Rhinolophus ferrumequinum: one gene and its partners. The protein of the gene in region 3 interacts with the protein of the main gene of each other region in a pairwise test. Links are inferred from orthologs where the notes say so. Each region holds a gene or a part of one and is shown on either strand. Other genes may lie near its edges.

Region 1 (7,256 bases), about 2.0 Mb from region 3:
CTTCAAAGTTGTCCCAAGTTGCAGTGAGAGGGACAGGTCCCTTAGACCCCACGTCCATGTCACTGGATATGGGCCACCTGGGAAAGAGGGCTTAACCTTGGCTAAGGACGGTCTCTTAAGCAGAGGCACTTAAAGCTGATCTGCTGAGAGCCACCTGTTAGCAGTACTTCCAGCAGCTGGGGCGTTTGACCTTCATTTCTGTAGTGGGGTAGAATGTTTCAATTTCCTAGGTGGAAAGACTGAAGGAACTTTGGCTGAGAAGGCAGGGTCCTGGCCCACAGGATTATATGAGGTTCCTCCCTATACTTAACAGCTGAGTGTTCACCTTTTCTGGACGCCACCTGACTCATTCCAGTGCCCAGAGCAGAGCAGCCCGCAATCTTTCCCGATAAGAGACCTACTTGAGAGCCTCAAAAACTAAAAGATTCACCCTCCATTTGACAATGACAACAGTCAAGGAGAAAATTTTCATTCTAAAAGAAATAAAATTTCTTAGTCAATAACTTTTTAGGTCTTTTGTCTTTTCAAGCAAATGAATACTTTTATTAACACGGTAATTTTTTTTAAACACACGGTAGGGTTTTGACCTCAAATATTTGTCAGGTCTGCTACTCAAATGAACTTATAGCTGGACAACTTATGAACCTTGAAGACACCTAGTCCCTGTCCACTTTCGGGTCCAATGCAGGCAGTCCTTGCTTTCCTTCCCCAGCCCCGCAAGGGCTTTTGCAAATGTTTCTTTCATTTTATGCCCAGAATCCCCTGAAATGCATCCGAGTATTATGTCAACTTGTGCAGAATACCAAGATCTCATCCCCTATTCCAGGTTCCATGTCAAATAAAGCTGAGTTAGGTTGTCCAAACAAACTGACCAGACACGTTACATCAGATAGTGTGCCACATAAAATTCAATTTTGAACAAAATACACCTCTCCTCCTTTGGTCTCACACAGAAATTCAAGTCCCAAAATACAGACAATACCACTTTCCACCCCTTCTTTTGATGCACCAGTCCTAGCCAGATCAGCTCCATTCACATTCCCGGATGAAGTCTGGTCCCTTCTTCAGCTTCTTTAGCAGGAGTCATCTTCTAGAAGTAAAGCAGCTCCTTCAGCGCCTCCAGAGCTGGAGAACTCCAACTCCGAGTCTCGTGTGTCACACATAGACCCAAAGTTCCAGGGAGCTATCAGATCACACAAGAAAGAGCAAAACACCTCAAAATTTAGAAATAACCGAAGCCCAGGAACAAATGTGACTGCTGTAAGAGCTTACAATCTAGGCCCTAATTGTTGCACGTCAGAGAATTTCCCAAATAAAAGTGACTTCCCCAAACAAAAACATTTAACAGTCAAAACTCACATTGAGGTCATCAACCACAGACCACAGCAGAAACGTAGTGTAAATGAGGACAGAATACAGACAGAGGAAAAAAAGAGAGAAAACAAAAGGCTCTCTGGTTTCAGCTTCTCCAGGGTGTCAGCCAATCTCCATCAGTGGACCAGAATCCATTGGCTGCAAACCTAAGGTGCAATTGCGAGAAACTCATCGTTAAGGGGTTAATCCTGGGGGGGGAAGGGAGCCCAAGACCCTCACAAATGTAACCACCCACGCAGGACGTCACCTTTTCTGGATGCCATCTGACTCACTCCCGTCTTCTGGCAAGGTCTGGAATTGAAAACTCTCTGTCTCCCTCTGAAAACTCTCTGTCTCTATGCCCCCTTGCTCAACGGCACCTGCTATGATTTTGTTCTTTTAGCGACTTTCAGCTTTACCACACTACAATTACTCCCAGGGCCCGAGACCGTAGGTTTTAACCAAACACATACTATGCCCGACACAGGCCTATTTTTTCCTAATTACCAGCGTAAACAAACAAACAAACGGTATCTGCTAACCCCTGTTCAAGTCAAGACTGGGCCTGCCTTTCTCCTCTCGTCCGCCCCGACGTCCATCTCACGTGGACCGTCACCATCACACCGGTCCCCTCGGATAAAGCAAGTGCAGGGCACCCAGCAGGACGTCCCCCCGGCTCCCGCCGGCCTTACCGGCGGCCCGCGCGCGCTCAGGACGATTCGCTCCTCTCTATCCGCCGCACCAGCTCCACCAGCATCTCTGTCATCTTGGCGATCTCCTTGGCCTTCTCCTCGGCCTTCTCGCACCGTTTGGTCCCTCTGCCCTCCCCTTCGTCGTCCGGGTTCTGCAGATGATTCAGGGCGCTCTCCTCCGAGGCCTCCACCTGCGTTTTGATCTGGATGAGCATATTGTCCATCTCCCACAACTTGCTCCTGTTCCGCATGTACGCTCGCCCGTGCTCCCGGGTCAGAGCCGCGATGTCCTCCCGCATCTCGTGGATGACTGGGAGCAGAAACTGCTCGAAATCCTCCTCGGGCTCCAGCACTTCCACTTCCTCCGGTTCCGCCAGCTCGACGATGTCCAAGGGCCGCATTTTCCGCCGCTACTCGGGAACCGCAGTACCGACGTCTGCTGCAGAGACAAAATGGAGACTCCCTATGCTTATTAACAGCGCTCCAGAATAATCCTTAAAACTTTTACCCTTTTTTAAACTTTTCGCCTCAGAAAAACCACGGAGAGAGGCAACTTACGAGCAGAGAAGAGGCAAACAAAATGGAGTCCGAGCCGTCAACCAGCCCCCTGCCTGTTGCGGCCCCTTTCACGACACGGCTGTGCCCCTTTACGGTCACGCCGCCGGCAGGACGAGGTGCGGGCGCGTGCACGTACATGGAGACGCCGCCGGCGTCCCCGCGCCCGCGCGCGCGCACGAGCCCGAGCCCGAGTACGTAAGGCGCCCGCCTTCTGCTCGCTGCGTCCCTGGCTTTGGGGTGACGTGTTTTGGTGCACCTTTCTCATACAGGGCTTCTCGAGCGCGGAATTTACATATTTTTAAGATGTAAACGCGATCTTCTTACACGAAACGAGGAAGGTGCTACGTAATAATGTACTCAAAGGCTGTGACGTCCCCGGGCTAAGCCTCACAGCCCCGTTCCCTCGTACGGCCAGCAGACCCCTCTCAGCCGTGAGATTGTCGTTCTTGCAGCCGTGTAATCGTTCTTGTTCGGATTGCAGTCAGAAGTGAGTGTCTTTTCACCGGGCCAAGCCCCCCGCCCCCACTCCAGGGTTAAAGACCTGGTCTCGTTCATCCTGAGCCCCCAGCGGACCCCAAAGCTCCGTTGAAAACGGGGTTGTTGACTATCCTTCCCACCTTTTACCAAAATCAGGGCTCCGTGTGTGTTTGTGGCCGTGGGGTGGGGGGTGTCTTATTGTAACTGTCTGTAAAGCCCTGAGCAGAGCTTGGCACAGATCGGTAAATTTGCTTTAGCATTCACGCAACACAAACTTTTAATTAAGGACAGATAAGTTCATTTCCTAGCCTAGTCTGTTGACCCGGTCACAAAACAGCAAGAAAAATTTCAAGAATCCAGCGTGCGCAAGTGCCATAGGGTTGGTTTCTGTTTTCCAGTCAAAGGGACACAAGTCCTACTTTCGAAGATGGCAGAGTTAAGAACGAAGAGAAACAAAAGTCACGAAATTCTCAGTGAACCTCTTCTCACATTGAAATTCTCTGCGTTTTTCAGTTGCTGTGATATAGAACACCGATTCACACTTAAACGTTGTAGTGTATTCTCACTCTGAACATTACCCAAAATAATGGTAAACCTTAAAATTGATGGTTTCTTAGATTTGACAAAACCCCCTACTGTTTCACAGTTTTAGTGTAATTTTGCTGCTTGCTCATTGTGGGGACAGAGCCCCAAAAAGCAGTTTCCAGGCTCTCGGCCTCACATAGAAAGGTGCTGGCTCAGGTAGTAAATGGCTGTCGACTGCAATCAAATGGCCATCAGCTGTGGCTAGTTGGCCGTCAGCTGTAACCAGTGAGCCGTTGGCCACTAATATAACTGCCGTGGCTATGCTAGCAGCAAATGGGGGCTAGCAAGGAGATGGTGGCTGAGCCTGCAAGCGGCGCAGTGAGGGTTGAGAATTGTGTGGCTCCTGCTTCCTGAGCCTCCAACCCAGCTGCCAGTGACAGTACAGTGGTATGACTCCCCTACCTATGGCTCTGTGGGTGTTCCTTTTTGGCCTCACCATGTCCTGCGTTCTTGTGTGGGGAGTGGGACCGGGGACCCTGCACGCCGTCCTGCATGACGCTTGGCGTAGTCGGCAGGATCCCCCACACGACACTCATTATCTAACTTTCTTATATAGTATCTGATCCTGTACCTTCCTCTAGAACAGAATGTTTTCGACTGTAGTGATTTTGTCCTCTAGGGTATATATGGCATTTTTAACTGGAGACATTTTTAACTGTTACAACTTGAGAGGGAGGGACGAGGGAGGGAGGGCTGCTACTGGCATGTAGGTAGTGAGGAGAGGCCAGGAACGTTCCTACCTTTCATTGCCTGGCTAATTTTGGCTAATTTTGGTAGTCTTCTGTTTCTTGTGGTTTTTTTTCATATTTCATAAAGAGCCATTTTATATTCTACATTTGATAATTCCCGTATCTGTTACTTTTTGTTTGACTGACTCTTATGTGGTGCTTTGTTTCCGTGTGTGTAATATTTGGCTTTAATTCTGGGGAATCGTAACAAGCTTGGCTGAGAAAGCTTCTCCAGTGGGGATTTGTGGTTGATCTTGGTTGAGAGCAATTTCATAATTACAGATCTGCAGAATTCTGTTTTCAAATTTGTATTTATATTTGTATTAGTTTTTCCACCTACATCCAGAATACACCACCTGGATTCCTTTTGGTACCTTTGCACTGGTTGGAAGGTTTCTTAGTTTTTTTGTTTTCCCCCTTTCTTCCGCCTCCCCCAACCCCCACTCCAGTTCAAGCTGTTGTCTAGTTGTATAGGACAAGCTCCCTGGCCCATGCTGGTATTATGAGCCTTGCGCTCCCCAGTCAGCCGGCCAGTCGCTATGGGCTCCTGATGACACACAGTAGCTCACGCTGTTGTTGTTCACAGTCTTAGCTGTAGAGGGTGCAGCTCACTGGCCCATGTGGGAATCGAACCGGCAGTCTTCAGCGTTAGGAGCTCGGGGCTCCAACCACCTGAGCCATGGGGCCAGTCCAGGCTGGGAGGTTTTTAAAGTCAGATTTGGTTCAACCCCTCCAGGACCTCGTCTCCTATCCCTGTGTTTCTGCTATTGGTAGCTCTGATTTGACGTTTGCTCACGTATCTGGTTTTAGTATTCAGTTCCCTCCTGAACGCCTTTGAGGATTTCTCTTGCATTCTGCACGCTCAGCAGTGTGTTTAAAGGAAAGTTTGTTGTGATCTACTGTATGCCGCCTGTGGGAGTGGAAAGAAGAGGATTTTAGAATGTCTTATCCACCATGCCTCCCGAAGTGTAGCGCTTCCGTCCAGGCTCCCTTCGCAGCTCTTGCATCCCATCTCACTGCTAGGCTGAGAAGTCACAAGGACAGCAGGACTTTTAGGATACTGGGACTTCTCCCCTTCCAGGGCATGGAAGGGGAGGGCACTCAGGAACCCTAAGGTGTTGGCAGTGTGAGGCCCTGGAGACCAGCAAGTCCAGCCTGACCCCCTTTTAAGTGGAAACCCAGCAGGGTTGGGCGAATGAAGCAAATGGGATGGAGGCTCACTCCTTTTCTTCCCCCTCTTGATAAAGTATCTGGCATATTTGACACCCAGAGGGGGTCATTTTTCAATACCTCTCCTCTCTATGACAAATGATTTGAAGTAATAAATGTGACATAAAACTCTACGTGGTATCACAGGCATTTCATATTTCAATACAGATCCAGCCATTGCTTCAATTGCCTCCTCTTTTGCTTAAAATTTTTCTTTGTTGGGCTCCATGGGATCAGTGTCTTTAGGGGTGCCCCCCCACACATTTCTTAATGAAATTCAGAATAATTATGGACCAGTTGCTGGTTTCCCAACACAAAGGGCTTCAAGTTCCTCCAAGTTCCCAAAGGGCAAACAAGCACAACTATGCGTTCAGTCGCTTTGATAGCTCCCTAACTGTTTCATCTTTGCTCTCGTCATTTGTGAAATAATATGAAATATACGTAGCGGTCTCTGCCCCAGTTCCTGACACAGGGCTCCTGAATCCCTTGGAATTGCCTGGGTGATGGCAGTGCCTTTTGTTCTAATGAGGTGACTCTGGCTGGCTCTTGGATGGAGCTGGTCACCAGAAAGATCAAGCCATGATTAGAAGCTTGGAATTTTCAGTTCCACCCTGCATTCTGCAGAGAGGGGAGATGGGCTGGAAATGGAGTTCATGATCGATTATACCTACGTGATGAAGCTTTCATAAAAATCCCAGTAGTATGGAGTTCGGAGAGCTTCTGGGTTGGTGAACCCACTACACATTGGGAGGGTTGGCCCCCCCGCCCAACTCCACGGGGACAGAAGCTCCTGGGCTCGGGGCCCTTGTTTCTCTTTATTATGAGCCTTTATTATGTCCTTTATAATAAACCAGGAAACATCAGTGTTTCCCTGAGTTTGTGAGGCATTCTAGTGAATGACGAGGAGGGTGTCATGGGAACTCTGATTTATAGCCAGTCGTCAGAAGTTCGGGTGACAACCTGGGACTTTCAATTGGTGTCTGAAGTGGGGGCAGTCTTATGGAAATGACTCCTACACTTGTGGGGTCTAATGCTAATTCGAGGTAGATAGTGTCAAAATTGAGTGAACCATGGCCACCAGCTGGTGTCGTGGAGAAATGTTTGATGCAGTAAAAACACACACGTGTCAAAAGTGAATGAGGTATAGTGTGAGTAGTAGCGTGAGAGCGTGAGAGTAAAGGCAAACCACAAGAGTGAGTTTATCTTTTCAGATTAGCCTGATTTAATAATATTTTATACAACTAAGTGTCCAATAGTAAGTAAATTTTAACAAAGCTGAAAACACTGCAAAAGGTGCCATTTATGCAACTAGTAAATGATACCACTAATATAACCTGTTATTTTCTTGATTAGTTCATTAGTTTTAAAGCAATTAGCAATTATGAATACATTTCAAAGATATTCAAATTAAATATGTAGTGCACTAGCTAAAATTTGCACTTACCAAACAAAAATATCTCACTGTGTTTTAAATTATAAACATAAATTGAAAGTCCAAATGGTCACATAGAATGGCAGGATGAAAGTACGTGAGGTTTTGTTTCTTCATCTTTACAGTAACTATGCTGTCATTGTTTATTTTGCTAAATGCGGAAATCACAGTACAACAGGGCTTGAAGGTGTGAACTGTGCCCAAAGCCAGTGTGAATACCTC
Region 2 (7,606 bases), on a different chromosome or scaffold from region 3:
TAACCAAGGATGTGAAAGACCTATATGCTGAAAACTATAAGACATTTTTAAAAGAAATAGAAGAAGACACAAAGAGATGGAAAGACATTCCGTGGTCATGAATTGGAAGAATCAACATAGTTAAAATGGCCGTATTACCCGAAGCAATATATAGATTTAATGCAATCCCCATCGAAACCCCAATGGCATTTTTTAAAGAAATAGAACAAAAAATCATCAGATTTGTTTGGAACCACAAAAGACCCCGAATAGCCAAAGCAATCTTAAGAAAAAAGAACAATGCTGGAGGTATCACACTCCCTGACTTTAGCTTGTACTACAGGGCAACAGTAATCAAAACAGCATGGTATTGGCAGGAAAACAGACACATAGATAGACCAATGGAATAGAATTGAGAATGCAGAAAAAAACCACATAAATATGGACAGAGAATTTTTGACAAGGAAGCTAAAAACATACAATAGAGGAAAGACAGCCTCTTCAATAAATGGTGCTGGGAGAATTGGAAAGCCACGTGCAAAAGAACGAAACTAGACTGCTATCTGTCACAATGTACCAAAACTAATTCAAAATGGATCAAATACTTAAGCATAAGTCTTGACACAATAAACTGCATAGAAGAAAACATAGGTACTAAACTTATGGACCTTTGGGTTCAAAGAGCATTTTATGAATTTGACTCCAAAGTCAAGGGAAGTAAAAGCTGAAACAAGTGAATGGGACTATATGAAACTTAAAAGCTTCTGCACAGCAAAGAAACCATCAACAAAATAAAGAGGCAACCAACTGAATGGGAGATTTTTTCAAACAGTGCCTCTGATAAGGGGCTAATATCCAAAATATACAAGGAGCTCATGAAACTCAACAACAAAAAAACAAACAACCCAATTGAAAAATGGGTAGACGACCTGAAGAGACATTTCTCCAAAGAGGACATACAAATGGCAAATAGACATATGAAGAAATGCTCAACATCACTAATCATCAGAGAAATGCAAATAAAAACCACAATGAGATATCACCTCACCCCAGTCAGAATGGCTATCATCAACAAGAAAAATAGTAACAAGTGTTGGAGAGGCCGTGGAGAAAAAGGAACCCTCATACACTGTTGGTGGGAATGCAAACTGGTGCAGCCGCTATGGAAGGCAGTGTGGAGGTTCCTCAAAAAATTACGAATAGAATTACCATATGACCCAGCAATCCCTCTACTGGGTATCTACCAAAAGAATCTGAAAACATTTATGCATAAAGACACGTGTGCTCCAGTGTTCATTGCAGCTTTATTTACGGTGGCCAAGATATGGAAACAATCAAAATGTCCTTCAATAGATGAATGGATAAAGAAGTTGTGGTATATATACACAATAGAATAGTATTCGGCGGTAAGAAAAGATGAAATAGGACCATTTGTGACAACATGGATGGACCTTGAGGTTATAATGCTAAGCGAAATAAGTCAGATTGAAAAAGCAGAGAACCATATGATTTCAGTGATATATGGTATATAAACCAAAAACAACAAAAGAACAAGACAAACAAATGAGAAACAAAAACTCATAGACACAGACAATAGTTTAGTGGTTATCAGTTGGTGAGGGCGGGGGTGGTGGATGAAGGTAAAGGGGATCAAATATATGGTGATAGAAGGAGAACTGAACCTGGGTGGTGAACACACAATGTGATTTATAGATGATGTAATACATAATTGTATACCTGAAATCTATGTAACTTTACTAAACTTTAATTAAAAAAAAAAAGATGCCGTGTGACCTTGGATAACTCCTGTAACTTCTAGCACCCTTGTTGTCATTTGTTAAATCATATATATATATATAAAATTACATAAATATATATATATATATATATATGTTTTTTGTCCCTTAGGTTTTATGAGGAGGAATAAGTTAATTTATGCAAAGTACTTGGCACAGTGCCCAGAATATTATAAAATTCATGGTATATAGCACTCAAATATTAGCTATTATTGTTATTTATAGAAATCTTTTAACATTTCCTAAGATGCCAGTCCTCATATGGTTTTTGGATACATCTTACTTTTTAAAACACTTTAGGGTCCTTTTCTTCCCTTGTTTTATTTCCTACCCAGTGTTGCCTATGGACTTCATATTGGTTAACAACAGTTGACTTTGGCATTAAAAAGAGGCGATTAATGAGGGTTGGAGGTTCGTAAAAGAGGTAAAGTGAACCGTAAAAGTTATTGCCTTTTTGTGGTTATTGATTATGATGTTTTCTCTTTATTATCTGGGAAAAACGCTTTTCTTGGATTTCCTAATTTACAATTTTATATGCTCTTGAAAAACTCAAAAGCAAACTTAAAGAAAAGTTGTACAGCATAATACTGAACATTTAGTAGATGCTGACAAAAAAAAAACCCTGTTGGTTTGATTGGCTGTTTTTATTTTCTGTATTAGAGTTAACTTTTTTAACCTTATTCAACTATACTGTTTCTCTACCTTCCAATTCAATAATCTGGCCTGATTTTTTCTTTTTGACTTGTTTCCATTTTGTTACCTTAAAATTCAGAGTTTAGCCAGTCTGGTATCTTGTTATCTTTCCTGTATGTTGGTAAACTTTGTACCCACAGAGATGCCTATTTAAAAAGCATCCAAGTTAATTTGGGTAACTGTATTTTTATATATTCTTTCCATTGTATTAATCCTACCAGTTCCCCAAGCCTCTGAAAAACCTACTTTTCTGAGCTGATGTTCTTTAATTTTTATACTTCTTTCCTGAAAGATGCTGTCTTCTGGTTTTCTATGACCAGTTTCCATCCACCTTTAGGTTTTTATTTTGTTCCTGCATTTCTCTTCCTAAGGAAGACCTGAACCAAGAAATACATTAATCGTATAGCATTCTTCCCTTTTTTTATATTAGGAAATTGTTCTTGGCATTCTCAAATCTCGGCACTTTAGATTTTTAAACTAAATCACGGTCTGAAACCACTCACTGTACCAAAATCAAAAAGACTCCAGTAGCATTTCATCTTTGATCTAGAGGTAAGGATGGATGACATGAATGATACCTCTTATATATTTTTTCTTTTAACCTAGTATCTGACCGCCCTTTCGTTTTTATTTTCTTATTTTTGATTAGGTAACATCCTGTGGTTCTAATTTTAAACGTTTAAAAGATCCTCTCCTTTTACTAACAATTGTCACCCCAATAAATTTAAAAAATAATTAAAAAAAAAGATTCTCTCCTTCCCACTCTTTTTCCCAGTCACCTTACTTCCCTAGAATCAACTTTAGTATCCTAAAGTTGTATCAGTTTTAGTATCCTTCCAGAGAAATTTTACACATAAAATTCTCACCTTTTTACACAAATGTTACCGTAACATATTTATTACTTTGTACCATTCTTTTTTATTTAGAAATATGCTTTTGTGATTTTACCATGTCAGTTCATGAAGATATTTCTAATTCCTAAAAAAAAATACAAAAACAAAAAAACAAACCCCACCAGGGCTGTCTTGGGGAAGTGTGTGCATGATGCAGCTTTCTCCAAGGAATGACTGGGCAAACTGGATAGGTGCTTACGGCAAGTGGCCGAGACCTAAAATGCTTCTAATCCCTGCCACATTTCCACAGTGCCAAAAATCATGAGAGCTTGGATGGGATTGTAAGACAAGACTTGATAGAACAGAGGAAGAGGAACCCGGAGCGACCCTATCTGATGCCTGACACTTACTTGGATGTGAGGCCACACACAGGGAGAATTCTATGACCCGGTGCGGGTCCAGACAGGGAAAGGCCCTCTTTCTAGGGCACTGTGGGGACCACAAAATGGCAACACGTGTTACTATTTCGAATGTGAAAAAAAGCAGTGTGGCAGCAAGGATGAATCTGGGTACAGAGCAGTGGATTCTCTCCTAGGGTTAGAGGTCTAGGTCTGCCTTTAGAAGAGGGGCAGTGGTGAGGCCTCCATGGCAGACCCCACCACTTCCTGTCCTCCCTGACCCCCCAAACAATGAAAGAACTTGGGGGGGCACCTCAGGACTTCAGGGTCGGTCTAGCTTTAGATGGCCTCTCCCCATCCGGGCAGCATTCTCACAGCCCCTCTCCCAGCAGCGTCCAGAAGTGAGACGGCAGGAGGGAGGTGGGTAGAACCCAGCACTCTGGGGGTTCATATACACCTAGGGGCGCTTTGTATCCACACGCAGCGAAGCTGCTCCTGACCTAGCGAACATGCTCCCCCACCCCCGCCCGCGCTGCCCGTAGATTGTAGAACCGGAAATGTTGTAGGGGGTACCCGGCAGGGGGCCGCGGAGGTCCTTAGAGCCCGATTGGCGGGCGTTAATTCGCCCCATGCGCTGGGGCTCTTCCCGGCCCCGCCCCCTCCGGGTCGGAACTGCGGGGCGTCTGGCAGGGGAGGGGTCGTCGAGCCCATTCGTCCGGTCTCCCTCCGCCCCGCTTTCCCTACACCCCCAGCCAGCGGTTCGTGCCGCATCCTGCGCACCCCCTGCCGTGTTTGGTGCAGCGGAGCGAAGGGCGGGACGCCTCTTTGCAATTTGATGCGCGCGCAAGGCGGTGGGACTCCGAGGAGGTCCGAGAGGAGGGGAGGCCGGCCACCCGGGCCCCGAGCCTGGAAAGGCAAGTGGGGGTGCATGGGGCGGGGTGGGTCCACACTCTCGACCAGCTTACACCCGCGCCCAGTCCCAGGCAGCCCAGCGAAGAGGCGGAGGCGGCTACAGGGTCGAAGCCGGTTCCTGAGAGAGGTGCGCAACGCCGGGGAGCCCTGCGCTGAGGTTGCGGCGGCGACGGGTGCGGGCCGGACCCAGGGTCCAGGGCCCAGGGGTGGCCTCAGATGCTCCCTGGGCTCCTGGGGGAAGCTATCCACGCCGGCCTCTCCACAGCCAGCTTTCCCGGAGATGGCTGTGGGGGAGGCTGGTGCGGGAGAAATGGTGGAGCCGGAGCAGAGATGGGGGCGCCGGGGCGGGGGCGTTGGCTATTCCGGGCCCTGATTCTGGAAAGGGTCTGTTGGGCCCCGCGTCCTGGGGGCTGTCCCTTCCCACAGGCGCCTCTTTGGTGCCAAAGTCTCCCGTCTGCGTGGTAGGTTGGCGATTTCAGGTGGCGGGGTGCATCTGCTGCGGAGCTGCTTGAGAAAAAGTTGGAGCAGGAAAATAGCCTGGATTTCTGGAGGTGTGTGGGGATGGGGGGTGGGCAGCCGCCATTGACTGGAGACACGAATTGGGGTTGGGTGACTATGACCAGAGCGGGTTAGGCATCCAGGAATAAATCCTAAAATTTCCCTCCGTACCAGTTCCTAGGCACTTCCCTTGGCTTCCTCCCTTACCTCCATCCCTAACTGGGGGTAGGAAAAGATGGGATCGGAGGCGAGGGTGAGACGGAAGTCACAGTTACAAGTACCACTGCACAACCTGTTTTCTATAATATGCAGGCTCCCTTCCCCCATTTTATGCTGCCCAAGGCAAAGGGATGTGGTGCACCTAGTGGTGAATCCTCAGAATTGGAATACGGCAGCAATGAGAAGACTGACGTCAAGAAAAGATGTCGTTATCTGGAACCCTGAAACAGAGGGCCTTAGTAAAACGAGAACGTTCTACCTAGAAGACCTTAAATGTTGAAAGACAGATCACATGTGGACTCCCATCATTGGTGTTGGTCTGTCCACCAAGTGCTCAGTTGTTACCATGGTCTTCTGACTGTCTTTCTTTTCATCCGTTTGTCCCTAGGCTTACTTTAAGACTGGTCACTTCTGCAAGGAAGGAAAGGAGGAAGAGACTGGCTCAATTCTCTGGAGGTTGGTGTGAAGGGGGAAATGCAGGGGATAGCGACAGAGTAAGATCATGGCAGGTCTTTGATTCACCTCTCCTGCTCTCTGCCAGATTTGCACACTGTCCCAGCATTCCTTGTCCATTTCCTGCAGGAGATATTACGAATATTGGGGTAGGTGCGAATTGGGCTGTGAATCGGAGGAGAAGACCTGAGATCAGGGACCAGGAGACAGGAAACGTTAGACAAATTGGACCCTTAAACAGAAAGAGAGATATTTGCATCAGGGGTCAGGGTGTCTGCCTGTCAACCAAACCCTCAGACTCCATTTTTTCCTGTGCGTTTGCTTGTCCATGGAACACCCTTCTGCTCTAGGGTGTAATTGGTACCCCTGGAATGAAGCACGGAGTGGGAAATTGCACCACATCAGAGAAGGTTGGTATGAGATGGGTAAACTTCGGGTCGGATAGTGGAGACCAGTGCAGTCACAACAGTAATTAGGGTCTAGTTTCAGGACTCCTCAACCTCTCTCATTGCCAACATACTTTCCCACAAATCTCACACCTGTTTGGTGGCAGGCCAAATAGTGTGGCAGTTGTGGGCAAAATGAATGTGACAGAGAGACTTTCTAATGGCCCAACAGCTCCACCAGGAATTCAAGGTCCAGTCTCTGTGTGAGTCTCTACATGGAGTGACACAGTTCCAAGAGGCTCAAGGCCCCATGTCCTTCTCTCTCCCTAGATCCACCTCCAGTGGCATCTCTGATGGTGCTGGAATTGCTGCTGACCACCACCCTCAACAGGTCTGCACCCACTTGGGAACCATCCATCCTCCCCCTGCTTGGTTGTGCCTCTTTGGCACTCTGTCTGTGATATTGGCTGAGGCTGGTCTTGGGAAGGAGGCTGGTTGGCTGCTGGACTGGTGATTGACTCTCTTCCAATTGTATCGCCTGAATCACTGGAAGATCAGTGTGAAGATACAGAATTGTGGTAGAGGCGGGGACTGTGTTACTGGTATTTAACTGCCTCTTCTCTGTAACTGGTATTATGACTGGGGCTGAGATTGAGCCTGGTGCCCAGGCCAAGGCTGAAAAGAAGGCTAGAGAAGAGGTTGCAGGTGGGGCTGAGAGAGAGAACGAAGTCCCGATGGTGGTCAGACCCAAGGTTAGGACCCAGGCCCAGGTAATGCCTGGGGCAAGGCCCAAAACTGCATCCAAGGCTATGAATGGGGCAACGCCTGAAACGGAGTCCCAGGTGATGGCTGGGTCAGGGCTCCAAACTGATTCCCAAGTAATGGCTGTGGCAAGGTCCAGAAGTGAAGCCCAGAGAATGTCTGGGGCAAGGCCAAAAACAGAGGCCAGGGCAGTAGGTAGGGCATGTTCTAAAACTGAGGCCAAGGCAATCACTGGGCCAAGGCACAAGGAAGAAGCCCAGGCTTGGGCCCAGACTGAGTTTGGGGCTCAGGCAATGTCCCAAACAGAGGGCATGCCCCAGACCAATGCAGAAGCCTGGCCACTGCTCAGTACTGAGTGTGGGTCAGGTGCTAAACCTATGTCCCTATCTGTAGATAGGGAACAGCTCAGGGTGGATGCTGAGATCTTTCCTGGTTCTCAGGGTCAGATGGGAATCCAACCCTGGTTTGGATCAGGGGAGGAAACTGATACTGGGTCTTGGTGCTATCCCAGGCCCAGGGCCAGAGCGGAGGGCTCTAATGAATCTGGATTCTGGTCAGCAGATGAGACCTCTACGATGTCTTCCTTCTGGGCTAGAGAAGAGGCCAGTATCAGATCGTGGCCCAGGGAAGAGTCCAATACCAGGTCCAGGCACAGGGCTAAATATCAGCCTAACACC
Region 3 (7,165 bases):
TAGCAAGAATGAGAGGCAGGAGAGAGGTGTTCACATCTTTAACCTGCTGACGGGTCATCTGCCAACCTTGAGTTCTAGACCCAACCCCAGATCCATTAAGAATGAATGTAAAATAATGACATTTTCAGACAAACTGAAACAGACATTTTGGCAATAGAAGATCCACTGTAAGAGAAAGTCTAAAGGGTGTCTTCTGGGCAGAAGAAAATGATCCCAGATGGAAGATCAGACGTGCAGGCAGGAATGCAGAGGAGTAAAAATGGCAAATGTGGGAGTCATTTAAGTAAATATTGACTGTTCAAAGCAACAATCATGTCTGTGTCTTTTACAATGTGTGCATGTCTTGATGTAGAAATAAATACACGGCAAGAATACCCTCTAAATTGGGAGGGACCCCCAGGGAGACGGGTGGGGGAACCACCACCCTGTCCCCAGGAGCTGCCGGTCCACTCATCTTGTCCCTCTTGGCTCTCCTTCACGTTTCCTTCTTTCTTGGGCCCAGGCCTTGCCCTGCACAGACCCCCCCTCACCTGGTCTTGGGTTCAGGGTGCGTGCCAGCCCCCCAGCTGGAGGGCACGCCACCTGTCATGGCTGCTTTAAATATCTGCCTTTTCTCCTGGGCAGCATGCGTCCCACGTGTGTTGCTAGGCTTTCATTTTCAGTTCTCCACCCAAACCTATGCTTTTATGTGTTTTTCCCCTGAATATACACATTTACTGCTGAAAAGCTGAAAACTACAGACAAGCACACAAGATATAAGAACCCTGCACAGAGAGTCAGTATTACGAATTTGGTGAGCAGCTCTCATCTATGTATGTGTGTACTGTTTTTCTTTAAGAAAGAGAAGATCATGCCATATGTAGTAGTATAATCTGCTAAAGCATGGTAAACCTTTTCTTGGGTCACAAGTGCTCTTCTAAAATAGGATTTGAATGGCTGTCCAGTTTTCTGTCACAGATTTATCTGGATTCATATCGCCAATCTCCTCCTGCCCAGCATTTATGTTTCCAGTTTTTTGGTCCTAAATGTTGCTGTAAGTAGTGACCATTCTCACACACACGATTGTTTTCCTAGAATAACGCACTGGAAGTGTCTGCTATTCAGGGACTGTGCCCAGTTTTAAGTCTGTGGAGACCCGGTGCCAAGTTGTCCACCTAGCATAGTTTATCTGCTTTGGACTGTGCCAAGCTTTTCTCTGAACTTAAAAAAATCTGCTTCTTGACAGTCCCTTTCTATAAGATTTCTTCTCAGGATTACAATAAGTTCCAGGCAGATGATTCTTTCTGCTGTGGCAGAAGAAGCCATGTCGGTGGCCATATAAGGCTTTGGTGACCCATAATCTATCTGGACTGGTCAGAAGGTGGTTTAGGAGCATATAAACGGGACAATCCCACGTAACAGTGGCTTATACAAAATAGACTTACATTTCACTCTCACAGATTTTCATGAGGTGGGCAGGCTGGCTGGCGTCCCCACCCCGTCCTCTGGGCCCTGGCTCCTTCCAGCTCCACCATCCCAGGATGTGGCTTTTCAGCCTCATGAGCCAGAATGACTGCTTAAGCACCACCCAACACAGCCGCATTCCAGGCAGCAGGAAGAACAGGTGAACCCCTTCTTAGGACACATCTGCTTCCATCTCGTTGGCTAGAACTCATTTAATCATGTGGCTACAGCCAGCTCAAAGGTGGGAAATGGAGCATTTTAACTAAGTGGAAAAGTGCCCAGATAAGAACTGAGGTCCTGTTACTGAAGAAGGCGGCCAGAGTGGCTATCAGGCGGCGACACTACTACTTGTTACGGGTTCCAATATGTCCCCTCAACCTTCATGTTGAGTGCTCACCCCTAGCACTTCAGAATGTGATTGTATTTGGACAGAGGCCCTTTAATGAGGTCGTTAGTGTGGTCTAACCCCGTATGACTGCTGTCCTTATAAGAAGAAGGGATTAGGACACAAACAGGAAGAGCATGTGAAGACACAGGGAGGGAGACGGCCACGTAGAAGCCTAGGAGAGCGGCCTCAGGAGAAACTGCCCTGCCCACACCTTGATCTTGGGGACTTCCAGCCTCCAGGGCCGGGAGAAGATGAGTTTCTGCTGTTGAGCCTGCAGTGTGTGGTACCTTGTTATAGCAGCCCTAGCAAACTAATACACTTACCTGTTGCTGTGTGACCAATCACTGTGGCTTAACTACCCACAGAATCTCACAGGGGCCGTGGGGCAGGCATCTGCCACAGCCTAGCTGGGTCCTTCCCTTCCCAGTCTCCCAAAAGCCTACGATCAAGGACCAGTTGCCTCCACTTGAAAGCTCTACCGGGCAAGACCGGCTCCTAAGCTCATGTGTTGGCAGGATTCAGCTCTTTGTGGGCTGTCGGTTTGAAAGCCTCCGTTTCTCACTGACTTGGCTAGTGGCAGCCTCCAACATGGCAGCGTGCTTCGTGCCCACGTGTAAGCCAAGTGACGGGACCAGGGCGGGCAAGACTGAAGCCTCATCTTTTGTAAGCTAATCCAGGAGGGCCATCTTTCCTTTTGTTGGGTAGAAGGAAGCCGCCAGGGGACAGCCCACACTCTGGGAGGGCACTATGAAGGGCGTGAACACCAGGAGGGGGCCACTGGGCTGTCTTAGAACTTGGCTACCAGCACCTGACAGCTCTCGGCCAACACCATCTGGCCTGTCCAGCCTGCGGTTCGGTAAGTGGCCTGGCACACGGACAAGGTCCTTTATTAACAAACATCACGGAACTGGGACCTCAAGGGTGGTGCATGTGGTGTTCCCCTGAAGGAGAGCTGTTGCTGTGCCCTTGGGGACAATACTGCCCGTGGTGGTGGTGGGTTTCCTGTTCCCTGACCATTTGGGACAACGGACGCTCTGACAGAGGGTGGAGATGTGGCTGGTGGCACAGATAGGGCACTGCTCCGAGTGGGCTCCTGCTGCATGCATTGCCTCCCCCAGGCGGCCCTCTCGGAGGCCAGCGCAGTCCCTGCCCGCCCCCCCCCCCAGTTGCTCACCTGCCTCCCCTTGAGGTGGTGAGGCCCTGGAGCACCGACCCTTCCGTGCAGCCTGCTGCGGCCCAGGCAGAGGTGCCCACAGACCTGTGGGACAGGGGTCCTCTTCGCTGGAGGGCAGTCATTCCTGCGGTGGGGAGGACTGCTTCCCGCTGCACAGCCATCGTCTCTGTGGGCAGCAGACACTGACCTGACCGTGCTAAGCCTCTTCTCCCCTGCCCTCAGGCTGCAGACTCTGGGAGGCGCCTGCCGGCTGGCTGCCGACCCCCAGGGGTTCCCTCTCCTCTCTGGGGGCCACACCCAGGCTCTCCTCCCGCCGAGACCATTCCTGCAGGTCTCCGCCGACCTACCCGACCCCAGCTCTGCGAAGGACGCACTCACTTCTCCGTGCTCCTCACAGAAAGAGCCCCGACTACTCACGTCAGAGCAGTCCGGCGACCCGCCCCTCAGTCCCGGCCACGGGTGGGCAGGGGCGCCCCCTGGTGTCTCTCGCCCAAGCCCAGGCGGAGCTCCTGCCAGGATGAGCGGGGCGTGACCGGTATCCCCTCCCCTTCCCGCCACTCAATGCCGTGCCCCGCCCCCCACCGCCACGTCCCGCCCTCATAGCGCCCCGCCCCGCCTCCCACCTCCGTGCCCCGCCCCTCACGGCCAGGTCCTGTCCTCAGCACTGTACCCCGCCCATCACCGCCACGCCACGCCCCTCATCGCCACACACCGCGTGCCGCCCCAGTCCCGCCCTCTGTAGTGACTCGCCCCTCAGCGCCAGGTCCCGCCCACACTGCCGCGCCCCGCCCCTCCGTGTACCGCGCCCTCGCAGGGGAGGGGCGCGATTATCTCAGTGGCTGCGTCAGCTCTGGGAGGTGATCTAGTGGGCTCGAGGGAGGGCGGGCTAGCACTTCGTTTGGTCATTGGCAGAGGCCGCCGCCTGGGCTGTCAATCCCGGCGGCCCGGTCTGGCCCCGCCCCGCAGGCGGAACGCCGCAGGACGCAGGGCCGCGGGGGCTGCTGGGAAGGGTTCAAGATGGCCGGGCGTTTCGGTTCTTCTACAGCCTGCGGCCCCGAACCCCATTCATTGCCGCGCTGCTGAGCGGCGCCGCGAGCCGGCCCTTGGGCTTCGGGGGCGGTCTCCGCGGAGCGGGTTGCCGCCATGGCGACCCTGGAAAAGCTGATGAAGGCCTTTGAGTCCCTCAAGTCCTTCCAGCAGCAGCAGCAGCAGCCCCCGCCGCCGCCGCCGCCTCAGCCTCCTCAGCCGCCGCCGCAGGCTCACCCGCCGCCGCCGCCTCAGCCTCAGCCACCTCCTCCCACACTGCCGCCCGGCCCGGCCGTGGCCGAGGAGCCGCTGCACCGACCGTGAGTGCGGGCCCGCTGCATCTCCCCCTGCACCCCGGGCCCCGCGGCGACGGGGCCACCCCGCGCACGGCTCCACTGCCTTGCCTGCCGCGGCATCTCGTCCCGGCATCTCGCGTGGGCCTCAGTGCCTTCGCGCGTGCAGGCACAGCCTCTCCAGAAGGCGCCGAGGCGGCCACGGTTGTTTTTCAGCGTGCCAAGTTAGGGGGGAACTTACTGCTCTGTATTGCAAAGGGCCGGGCTGCGTGGGTAGCAGAACTTGGCGGCGCCCTGAGCGCGTCGCATCTGGCTCCCCCGGGCCACTTCCGCTCCCTCTCCTAGTCTGAGAGGGAGCAGGGCTGGGGGCGCAGGGCGCTGCGCGGGGAGCTGGGAGCTGGAGCGCTGTGGGCACAGTGCATGACGTCATGCCCTAGACTGGGAGGGCGGGCCAGTGCGGCGCCGTCTGTGGGAGATTCTTTTTGCCAGGGGCCCTTGAGACAGCTTGTGTGACTTAAGGCTGTACTGCCACATTCTCGAGACATTCCCCTTAGTCCGGGAATCGCAGTGGTAATCACAGGATTTTAAGCATCAGTAAGAGGCCTGCTTGTCCAAGCTCAAGTTTGGTCTGCACGCATTTGACCGAGTTGTGGTTGCCAAGTAAGTGGTGACCATACGTAGATGGTTATGATTGCTAACGAGTGAGAAGTAATAGAATTGACTTAAGTATTAAGAGTTGACTGAAGTTTACGGCCTGTTTTCACTTGGAAATAAAAACGACACACTGCTGAGGGAGAGAAGTTCATCGTGGGGCGCGGTGACTGATGTGCGTTTTACTGGTGGTGTCGTCCAGCCTGCTGGACAGAGCGTGGGTGTCAGCGCACCCCACGGACGTCTCCTGTTCCCTTCATTGCCGGCATCCTGATACTGCTTTCATAATAGGGATCTCTGTTGCTTGTGCCCGGGACAGTTTTTGAAACAGGAAAAGGGAGACCACTAATGGCACCCTCTAACAGAACCCAAGTATTGTTCCCTGAAGTCTTCCTGTGCTGTGTGTTGAGCAGAGTTTAGGGGGTGCTTTGCTGCAGTTCAGGCCTGTCTCAGCTCGGGGCATTAGACTTCTGATCTGAAGATGTGTAAGATGGTATTTAATGGGGACACTTTCCAAGAAGCAGCCCCTTTAAGGAGCTTGCTCTTTTAAGGCTGATTCACTCTTAGTAATGTTTTCTTGTTCTTTATGTTTCTGACATAATTCTTGCTGTGTCCTAATAGTTTAATTGGAAAATGAGGACTTGGGGAGTAATGGTGGCTTATCTGTTAGAATAAAATTTAGAAGAAATAAATTATTTTTCCTTCTAAGATGTGAAAAACCTGTTTGCATATTTAGAGAGAAAAAATTTTTTTTAAACAATTTGACTTTATCTCTAGAGCAAGTAATTTGTAATCATAACCCATTCGAGACTTATTGTATGTAATGTCTCTCCAGGAAGTGAATGTCACAGACGTTTCCACGTGTGTAAACAAGGGAAACACTAAGGGGGTCTCTGCAAGGTTTACTGCCACCTGGTGACTCCTCCACTCCGTCAATCTAAAAACCTGCCTCTGTTTCTTATGCTGACTTGTCAGAACCTGAATTTGCTTATCTTCAAAATATGGGTATACAGAGGTTTCCTTGTAAAGCCGACTTGACAAAAGTAGATTTTGTTTCATTACTTTCAGGAAAGTATGATTGACTTATTTGAATAATTTTATCTATTATTTTTGCATAAGTAATACATTCCAAAAGGTAAAAATTAAAATTCTCTCTCCCACTCCTTTCTCCTGAGGGCCTAATTCCGTCCCCGGAGGCAAGCACGGTTTTACTTCCTTCTTGTGAATCCTTCCAGATATAATCTATGCATATATGAAGATAGATTTTAAATTACTTAAAAGCAAAAGTATTTCAGAAGAGTAGCTTTGAAAGGTTCTTAGCATGCTCTGAAGTCAGTTGCTTTAGGCTTGATTATAGTTTTTTTTTTTTTGAACAGGACTTTATTGGGGAACAGTGTGTACTTCCAGGACTTTTTTTTTTTTTTTTCCCCACGTCAAGTTGTTGTCCTTTCAGTCTTAGTTGTGGAGGGTACAGCTCAGCTCCAGGTCCAGTTGCCATTGCTAGTTGCAGGGGCCGCAGCCCACCATCCCTTGCAGGAGTCGAACCGGCAAACTTGTGGTTGAGAGGACGCGCTCCAACCAACTGAGCCATCCGGGAGCTCTGCAGCAGCTCAGCTCAAGGTGCCCTGTTCAATCTTAGTTGCAGGGGGCGCTGCCTACCATCCCTTGCGGGATTGGAGGAATTGAACTGGCAACCTTGTGGTTGAGAGTCCACTGGCCCATGTGGGAATTGAACCAGCAGCCTTCGGAGTTAGGAGCATGGAGCTCTAACCGCCTGAGCTACTGGTCCGGCCCTTGATTATAGTTATTTTAAATAAAATGCATAAATATATTTTATGTACTTTGCTATTGAGAAAGCAGGTATTCGTAAATTTTGAGTAAACAACTCACTGCTTACAATTTGAATCTTGGCATTCAGATGCTTCAGCTGAAAAATCCATTCCCCACAGTAAGTTTGGCCAAAAGCAATTGAGAAAGTACCTGTTCTATTTTTATGGCTCTTGCTGTCTGTGGTGTGGAACTTTAGTGTCACAGCCATGGGTGGGCTTCAGCTGAAGTATCTGAGTGCCTGTTCTCTGACTCAGCATATAGGATGCAGGGGTCCTGGGTGGGCCTGCCGTGCAGGGAGTGCCAAAGCGTGGGAGAGTCCTCGACTGCAATTATGAAGCAGTTGACATTTGCCTTTGGCAC

What was found. The genes of interacting proteins can lie anywhere in the genome.
Region 1: the proteins of HTT (region 3) and MRFAP1 interact in binary tests that used the Homo sapiens proteins (3 or more experiments, as listed by UniProt). The link is inferred for Rhinolophus ferrumequinum from reciprocal best matches to the Homo sapiens genes HTT and MRFAP1.
Region 2: the proteins of HTT (region 3) and GPRASP2 interact in binary tests that used the Homo sapiens proteins (3 or more experiments, as listed by UniProt). The link is inferred for Rhinolophus ferrumequinum from reciprocal best matches to the Homo sapiens genes HTT and GPRASP2.

What each region holds. Positions count from the first base shown.
Region 1 is NC_046288.1:84,322,972-84,330,227, reverse strand, and holds MRFAP1 (MORF4 family-associated protein 1), read right to left. Parts: upstream 2,730-7,256; 5' UTR 2,604-2,729; exon of another isoform or gene 2,485-2,603; 5' UTR 2,447-2,484; coding exon 2,063-2,446; 3' UTR 2,046-2,062; intron 1,521-2,045; 3' UTR 509-1,520; downstream 1-508.
Region 2 is NC_046284.1:52,045,954-52,053,559, reverse strand, and holds the start of GPRASP2 (G-protein coupled receptor-associated sorting protein 2), read left to right. Parts: upstream 1-4,598; 5' UTR 4,599-4,738; intron 4,739-5,076; 5' UTR 5,077-5,162; intron 5,163-5,716; 5' UTR 5,717-5,784; intron 5,785-5,869; 5' UTR 5,870-5,930; intron 5,931-6,131; 5' UTR 6,132-6,191; intron 6,192-6,497; 5' UTR 6,498-6,802; coding exon 6,803-7,606. UniProt on the Homo sapiens protein: May play a role in regulation of a variety of G-protein coupled receptors.
Region 3 is NC_046288.1:86,319,483-86,326,647, reverse strand, and holds the start of HTT (huntingtin), read left to right. Parts: upstream 1-4,148; coding exon 4,149-4,351; intron 4,352-7,165.